Linked DNA regions of Rattus norvegicus. The protein of the gene in region 1 purifies or fractionates together with the protein of each later gene. This does not show direct contact. Links are inferred from orthologs where the notes say so. Each region holds a gene or a part of one and is shown on either strand. Other genes may lie near its edges. The genes, in order: Haus5 and Haus2.

The links.
Region 2: the proteins of Haus5 (region 1) and Haus2 purify together in Homo sapiens (affinity purification with mass spectrometry; 5 studies listed by BioGRID and IntAct, with this or other methods). This does not show direct contact. The link is inferred for Rattus norvegicus from reciprocal best matches to the Homo sapiens genes HAUS5 and HAUS2.

What each region holds. Positions count from the first base shown.
Region 1 is NC_086019.1:95,040,575-95,044,385, reverse strand, and holds part of Haus5 (HAUS augmin-like complex subunit 5), read left to right. Parts: coding exon 1-65; intron 66-696; coding exon 697-777; intron 778-843; coding exon 844-989; intron 990-1,280; coding exon 1,281-1,392; intron 1,393-1,474; coding exon 1,475-1,604; intron 1,605-2,647; coding exon of another isoform or gene 2,648-2,739; exon of another isoform or gene 2,740-3,195; intron 3,196-3,201; exon of another isoform or gene 3,202-3,302; intron 3,303-3,811.
Region 2 is NC_086021.1:128,005,666-128,009,981, forward strand, and holds the start of Haus2 (HAUS augmin-like complex subunit 2), read left to right. Parts: upstream 1-1,228; 5' UTR 1,229-1,283; coding exon 1,284-1,376; intron 1,377-4,316. Other genes in the region: Lrrc57 (leucine-rich repeat-containing protein 57), read right to left, coding at 506-644, 751-856, 1,113-1,216.

The DNA.
Region 1 (3,811 bases):
GGCAGCTTCTGCTGCGAGAGCTGCAGGCCAAGAGGCAGAGGATCCTACAGTGGCGGCAGCTGGTGGTGAGATCCTGGGCCTGGTAGACGGTTAGAGTAGGGGTGTGGGGTCTAGAGACCAAGCTCTGGGTCTCCCAGGGCTATGAGAGATGGCTCAGCATTAAGAGGACTGGCTACACTGGGTCATGGTAGCCTATGCCTTTAACCCCAGTGCTCCGGAGTCAGAGGCACGATGATGTCTAGGAGTTCAAGGACAGCCTGGTCTATAGAGCTACTTCTAGGACAGAGATAGACACACAGAGAAACCCTGTCTTGACAAAAGGACTAGTTGTCCTTCCAGAGAACCTGGGTTCAGGTCCTAGCATTTACATAGCAGCTCACAGCTGGCAGTTCAGTTCCCGGGATCTGATGGCCTCCTTGGCCTCTGTGAGCAGGCGGCATACATGCAGTGCCTAGATATCCTTACAGGCAGCACAGCCATGCCATAAACTAAGAATAAATAAACCTCAAAAATATTGAAGAGATATGGAGGGGAGGGATGAAGGAACAAATTAACCTGACCTCTGAGGAAGGGAGCCGGGGGGTGGGGGGTTCCCAGGAAGAAGCAGGACCTGTCCCCTGTAAGAAGGGGTGGATTGCCTGCCCTGGGCAGTGGGAAGAACGGGGAGCTAGTGTCGGTGGCTTTCTGACTCCCCAGGAGGAGAGACAGGAACAGATCCGTCTGCTCATCAAGGGAAACTCAGCTAGCAAGACTCGCCTGAGCCGGGGTCCAGAGGAGGTAAGGTGAATGTTGGGCGAGGCATGGTGGGCTCTGGCTACCCCACCTACCATCTCCATCCCACAGGTGCTAGCCCTGATTCGGCAGAAGCTTGTTCCCACCTCTGAGGCTGTGGCACCACAGAGCCAAGAACTGCTTCGATGCTTGAAGGAAGAAGCCAAACACCTGCCCCACATTATCCTGGGCCCCCTACCACCATACCAAGTCAAAGGGTGAGGTGGGGCCAGCCCTGTCTTCCCTCTGAAACCTAGTCAAGTAGCTCCAAGGTGCGGTCCAGTGAGAGGAGAGCCCCAATCTAGAAAATAAAGGTGACCAAGAAGACATCTGCTGTCTACCTTGGGTCTCTGCACACATACACACCTGCACATGCACACAAAAGTAGCCCAGGGTCCCCAGACTTGCCAAACCTTACCCCATATCATCTAAGTCCCTAAGCCTACCTCCAAGTCCATGAGCTTCTGTAAATCAAACCACCTGATGTTCTGTTGCTGCCCTTCCCACAGGTTGAAGCCGCTATCCAGGATTCTACCATCTATCCATCAGCTGCACCCCACTACCCCAAGGGGCTCCAGCCTCCTATTGCTGAGTCACACACTGGGACTGCCTGTAGGGAAAGTAGGTGTCCATGACCTGTGACCTTTTTGCCCATCCCAGTCCCAACCCTGTGGCCAAGTTGACCGTCCTTCCCTACTCCCAGGCACCCGAACTACTGCTTCCAAGGGCGGCCTCTCTCCGACAAGATCTTCTGTTTCTCCAAGACCAGTGGGGTCTCCGAGGAGGAAATCTCAGTGTGAAGACCAGTCTGCCTCCGGGACCATCCACCCAGGGTATGTTGGCTCTGCCTGCTTTTTCAGATCCAGCATTCCTTCCGGTCTGCGCCAGCACGGAAGTGTTAAAGACCCCAGTATTGCAGTGTGCTGGAAGCATGCTTGCTTCAGCTGCACAGCAACCCCCACCCCCCCAGTTGCAGAGCAGGGAACTCAGGTGTACAAGGCTTAGTAGCCTGACTTCACGGTACAGTTGGTTGGTTTGATTTTTTTTTTTTTTTTTTTTTTTTTTTTTTGTCTTTTGGTGTGTATCTCACTGTGTAGTCCAGACTGTCTTCAAACTTCAGATCCTCATGCCTCTGCCTCCCAAGGTGTGCACCCTGCCCCCCTGCTTCCCCAGCCCAGGCAAGAGCTTGGCTATGAACATGGGTCCCATCCCAATCCCAACCCCATGGTTAGATGTGGATCGAACTATAAGGCTATACAGTCTATCCATTTGCCAACTACTCACTCATTGCCTTCAGAATACCTTGTTTTGCTTTAGTGTGTGTGCATGTGTGTGCCACACCATGTTTGTGAAGGTCAGAGGACAACTTGTTGGAGCCTGGTCTCTCCTCCCATCATGTGGGTCCCAAGGCTCAGACTCAGGTAGTTAGGCTTGGCAGCAAGCATTCTTATCTGCTGGACCATCTTGATGGCCCAGTGTTCTTTTGTTGTTTGTCTTTTGTTGTTCTGTTGTTTATTGAGACAGGGTCTGGTGAAGCAGCCTAAGCTGGCCTCAGACAAGCAATTCGTTCCCTCAGCTTCCCAAATGCTGGTGTTCTCACCTCACACCATTACCCCAGCCTAATGGTTATCTTGAACTCTTTTTGTTTGGTTGGTTGGTTTGGTTTGTGTTTTCTGTGTAGCCCTAGCTGTCCTGCAACTCTGTAGACCAAGTTGGCCTCGAACTCACAGAGATCTGACAGAATTAAAGCTGTGAGCCACCACTACCTGCCTATGCATCTGTAACAGCTCCTGGATTCCTCTCTTCTAAAGAATAATTTTGTTCCCTTTCTTCTTGTCTTCTCTCCTCTCCAAATGATCCCTAACCCCCATGTCAGCTCATCCAAATTCGGGGTTCTGGGCTAGCATATCTGTTCCTGCCACACTAACCCATGACTCAGAGACTTCCAGAGACGGCAGGCCTAGATAAAGAGCATGTAAGAGTCATGGTGGAGGTTGCAGACAAGGCACTCAGTGACGGCGGCGCTCTGCATTCGGGTTCAGTGGGTCTGTTCTGGTGCAGTGGGGACAAGGCCCAGTCACCATTTGGGGGGAAATGGTGCAAGAGTGGAAGTTGGAAGTGGGGTGAAAAGGCCCTGGGAAAGATGGTGAGTTGAAGATAGAGCCCAGGGAATAGAGTGCTTGCCTAGTTTGCATACAGTCCTGGCCTTCATAACCAGGACTGCATAAAACTAGGTGTGGTGGTTGGGAATAGTGGCGTACACCTTTAGTCCCAGTACCGTGGAGGCATAGGCATGTATGAGTGTGAGTGTAAGATCAGTGAGGTCTACATAGTAAGTTCCAAGCCAGCAAGGCCTACAGTGTGAGACCTGTCTCCAAGGGAAGGTGGCTAGAGAGATGGCTCAGTGGTCAAGAGCACCTGTTCTTGCAGAGGCCCTGGTTCAGTCCCCAGCACCCACGTGGCCGCTCACAACCATCTGTAACTCCAGCTCCAGGGGACCTGCTGCTGTCTTCTGGTTTCTTGGGCACCAGGCACACATGTGCTGCATACACATACATGAAGACAAAACCTAATAAACCTAAAATACACAAACACATGCATGCACACACTTGCAGATCCAGTACTTGGGAAGTAAAGGCTTGGCATCATCCTTCTATAGCAAGTTTGAGGCTAGACTGTACTAGATTAGACCTTGCCTCAAAAGAAAAAAATAAAGGCCATACGCCTTTAATCCCAGTATTCAGGAGTTAGAGGCAGAAAGGTGTCTATAAGTGTGAGGCCAGCCTGGTCCACATATGGAGTTCTAGGACAGCCAGGGCTACATAGAGACCTTTTCTCAAAAGAGAAAGAAAAACCAAAAAGCATGGTGTCTCACGTAAGCTCTGGCGTTTCCCCCAGAAGGGAGCAGAAACCACAGAGTGCAAACTGTCTGAGGAATCTGGACTCAGAGGAGTTGGGGTGCACTGGGGAACCTGAGGAGCAGGCTTCTGAGCAAGAGAGGGAGAAGTTTCTGGCTAACATGGAGGGTGGAAGACTAAGG
Region 2 (4,316 bases), on another chromosome or scaffold:
TTGTCTAGGGTAGCCTTGGAATTATCTTTCTGCTTCAGCCTCTGAGTGGCTGGGGTTACAGGCCTGACTTCTTACATAGAATCCTCACATGTCATGTCTAGGTTTCACCTTTTACAAACGGTGTTTGGGACTTAAGAAGCCATCAAAATGCAGAAAAGTGTGTACGTATATAATGGATTCTTTTTGTAAAGGGGCTTAAGTGTATTCTAAAAACAATCTGGGGAAGGTTAAAAGATTCATTCCACCCTGCCACCCAAATTAGATAACTGTTTACATCGTGTTTACATCGATTCCCAAAGGTCTTCCTAGTCCAAATTAACCTAGTAATAATGATTACACTACCCAAGGAGGCTTTTAGATTTAATTACAAGAGATAAAAGCTTCAATACTCTAACATTCTGCATCCCCTAAACTGATTTCATAACAAAAATCATCTAACAGGGAAAACACCCTTCAGTAAAACTGCCGATTACTAGCCAAAGCTGCCCAGGCACAAAATCCATACTCAGTTTGTTGTTGTTGAGAGAGAGACTCTTTAGCAGAGTGAACTTTCCTATTATCAGAGGTGGTAGGCTGTCGATCTTGTTGTTGGACAAATCGATGGTCCTAAGATTGCTTGTCAGCTTCTGCAACTCTGAGGGGAACTGGAGAAAGGAGCTCACAGTGTGGAAAAATCCTGCACCAATAGACTTCGCCACCCCGCCATCCCTCTCCCTTTTAGTTTCTAGGTCCGGTCCCCTCAGGTCTCACCTCGGTCAGACCACGGTCTTTAAGCTGAAAGACACCAGTTTTCTGCGCTGTTTCCACATGAGCACGGAGGGCACTGTTTCCCATCCTAGCACCACGGCTCAGTTCCCTGCAGGAAAGAAGCATAGCTGTCACCGCCCAGTCTAGACATACAGCCATCGCTAAACCTCTCGTTTAGGTCTCCTGTCCCAGTTGTCACCTTCTGCCTATCCCTACTTCCCAGGGGCCAGCCCAAGAGTAACAAGGGGAAAGCAAGCGAGCAGATAGTGCTACCACAAGATCCTGCTGCGTTGGCACCTGAGTTAAGGGCCAGGGAGCCTCCGATAGCTGCTGCCGGAACAGGGAGCTCAAGACTCGCCTCCTACCGCTCAGTGCAGAGAAGACTCCACCAGGGAACACCCGGGACCCGCGCTCGCCTGAGACGCGCTCCCAGGGCTTCCGCCCGGGTAGGAACGCCCTGTGACATCATCAAACCGCGCGCACGTTCGCTGTGTGCCCCTCACTCCTCGCGCCAGTTCCAGAGGTGCGTTGGAGCCATGGCTGCCGCCAACCCGTGGGACCCAGCGTCCGCGCCGAGTGCAGCTGGGTTACTGCTGAACCACTTGGTGGCTTCAGGGATAGTCACTGAGGTACGTGGGGGGCGGCGACGGCGTCATCAAGGTGGCGACAGAATTCAGCTGTGAGGTGGTGGTCCTGGTTACCCGGGCGTGAGTGAGCCAGTTGAGGATTGTGTTGAGTACTTAGTAGCGTCCCTTGGAGACTGCAGCCGTGACCATACTCCCGTGGGCTCTTCGAGTGTGAGGGACAGAGTGCTGGTGTTCCGAGCACTCTGTTTTGAGTGCCTGCAGGTTATCCCAGGCCGGTTTGTCGGAGATGGACCAGCATTCCGCTTTTTTTTTTTCTTTTCAGTGATACTACTTCCTCTAGAAGAGTGTTTCTCAACCTTCCTAAGGATACGATCCTTTAATACAGTTCATGTTGTGATGACCCCCAACCATAATATCATTTCCGTTGGTTGCTGCTTCATAACTGTGATCTTGCAACTGTTAGGAATATTAATGTAAACATCTGTGTTTCCCGGTGGTCTTTAGGCGACCCGTGTCTGTTAAAGGGTTGTTTGACCCCCACCAAGAGTTGAGAGTCACTCAGTTGAGAACCACCGCTCTAAATTGTAGAGTGGGGACAGTGAGAAAGAAATAGTGGCAGGTATCTTTAAAAACATTTCCAACAACGCCTGTTAATGGGAATTATTAAAATATATCTGGGGCCCTGTGTACAGAAGAACTCTAGCGGAGACTCTTTAGGACAGCATCTATTAAAAGTGTGTGTTTGTCTCTGTGTGTCTGGGTATGCCCTTGCACTGTGAAGATTTTGAGACAAGAATAAAGAGTAGCCCAAGAAGTGACTGTTTTGACAAGCAGGTAGACAGAAGGGAGAAATCGAATATCTGAAGGAATAACTGAAAGGAATGAGGGAGTGAGAAATCAAGCACATTATGATTGAAGGAAGGAAACTGATACAAAAAGGAAGTTGAGGAAAGTTAGTTAATTCGTCTGTAGAAATTAGCAGTGCTAGTAATGGAAGATTTTTTAATTGTTTATTTTTATTTTATGTACATTGATGTTTTGCCTGTTTGTATATCTGTGTAAAGGTGTCAGGTCCACTGGAATGGGAGTTACAGACCGTTGTGAGCTGCTTTGTGGTTGCTGGGAATTAAACCCAGACCCTCTGGAAGAGCAAATCAGTGCTTTCAACCACTGAGCCATCTCTCCAGCCCCTTGGTTTCATTGTTTTTTGGTTTTAATGTCTGAAAGAGGTAATAGAGACTTCACACATGTCCTAAAGTGTTTAAGAAACCTAAATAGCCAGATGTGGTGACACAAGACTTGGGAACACTTGGGAGCTGGAAGCAGAAAGATTGCTCAGAGTTCAAGGCTAGCCTAGGATAGAGGGAGGAGACCATGTCTCCATTAAACAAATAAGAAGCACCTAAAGAGACTAAGAAATCAGTATCACTCAGCAAGCTGGCAGAATTAGATCCTATAACTCTCTCCCTTTTGCTCTATCATCTTTTAAAATGAGTTAACAGCCAGACAGGGTGGTACACAGCTGTAATCCCAGGGCTAGTGAGTTACAGACCATCTAGGGCCACATAGCAAGACTCAGTCTCTAAATAAATAGTGCTAAAATAATAAGGGTGAATGTGATAGCATTGTGCTGTGAAAGATTTTGGACTTTGTTTAAGACCCAGCATTACTTTGAGTGTGTGAATTGGCCCTGGCTAATTGGTTTCCCAGGAGCTGGCACAGTACTCTTCAGTTAATCCTTTCTCACTCCTCTCTGTTTTCTTTCTACCACATTGCAGAGTATTCTCACCTTGCATCGTGCCATTCTCTTGTCATAAAACTACTGGATTATTTCATAAGTAACACATTTGAGACTCAATGTCCTTCTTGAAAGTGTTGACAGAGAATACAAGTTTCTGAACTATAGAAAGGTAGATAACCTCAGGCACTGTACAGTGGTGGTTTTATGGTTATCTTCCACATTAGCCAGTTTCTTGTTTTTTAGGTTTTTTTTTTTTTTAAGATTATTTATTTATTTTATGTGAGTACATTGTTGCTGTCTTCAGACACACCAGAAGAGGGCATTGGATCCCATTACAGATGGTTGTGTGTAGTCCTGGCTGTTCTGGAACTCACTCTATAGATCAAGCTTTGAACTCAGAGATCCACCTGCCTCTGCCTTCTGAGTGCTGGGATTGAAGACATGTACAATCATGCCCTGCTAAACCCTTAAATGAAAAAAGTAAATGGGTTGAGGATATAGCTCAGTTGATAGAGTGCTTGCCTAGCACACACAAAGCCCTTGGTTTGATCCAAAGCACCATATAAAACAGGTACTGGGACTCAGGAGGTGATTTAATCAATAAATCGCCTATCAAATAATCACAAAGGGCTGAATTTAGATCCCTCACACCCAGGTAAAAGCAGAATGTGAAGGTAAATGTCCTAGAGCTAGGAGCCAGAGATAGGAGGAGCTAGCTAGTCAGTCTAACCCCGTCTAGTCTGTATATTACCAGTGTGTCAGGGTCTGGGCTAGAAATATTTAGGTTCTTGGCCTCTTGTCTAAAGAATGGAAAATAAATTTATTCTGAGGGAAGGAATAACACAGAATATAGAGAGATACAGCGTCAAGATTGAAAACAGGCCACTACAGGGGCCCCAGGTTACAGCCTGAGCTCTAAAGAGCCTGAGCACTATATGTTGTTTACATATAGATATCTTTATTTGAATATTTTATGTATGAATGTTTTGCCTGCATGTATGTATGTGTACTATGCCTGGTACCCATGGAGGTCAGAAGAAAGCACTGGGTCCCTTGGAACTGGAGTGAACCACAGAGTGGTTGCTGGTAATTAAACCTGGGTTCTCTGCAAGAACAACAAATGCTCTTAATGCTGAGCCATCTTTCCAGTTCTGTTTCTCTACTTTGGTTGATATGATAGATTAGGTTAAACATTCTTTTCTTCTAGTGTCCATGTTCCTTTTGATAGTATCTGATTCTAA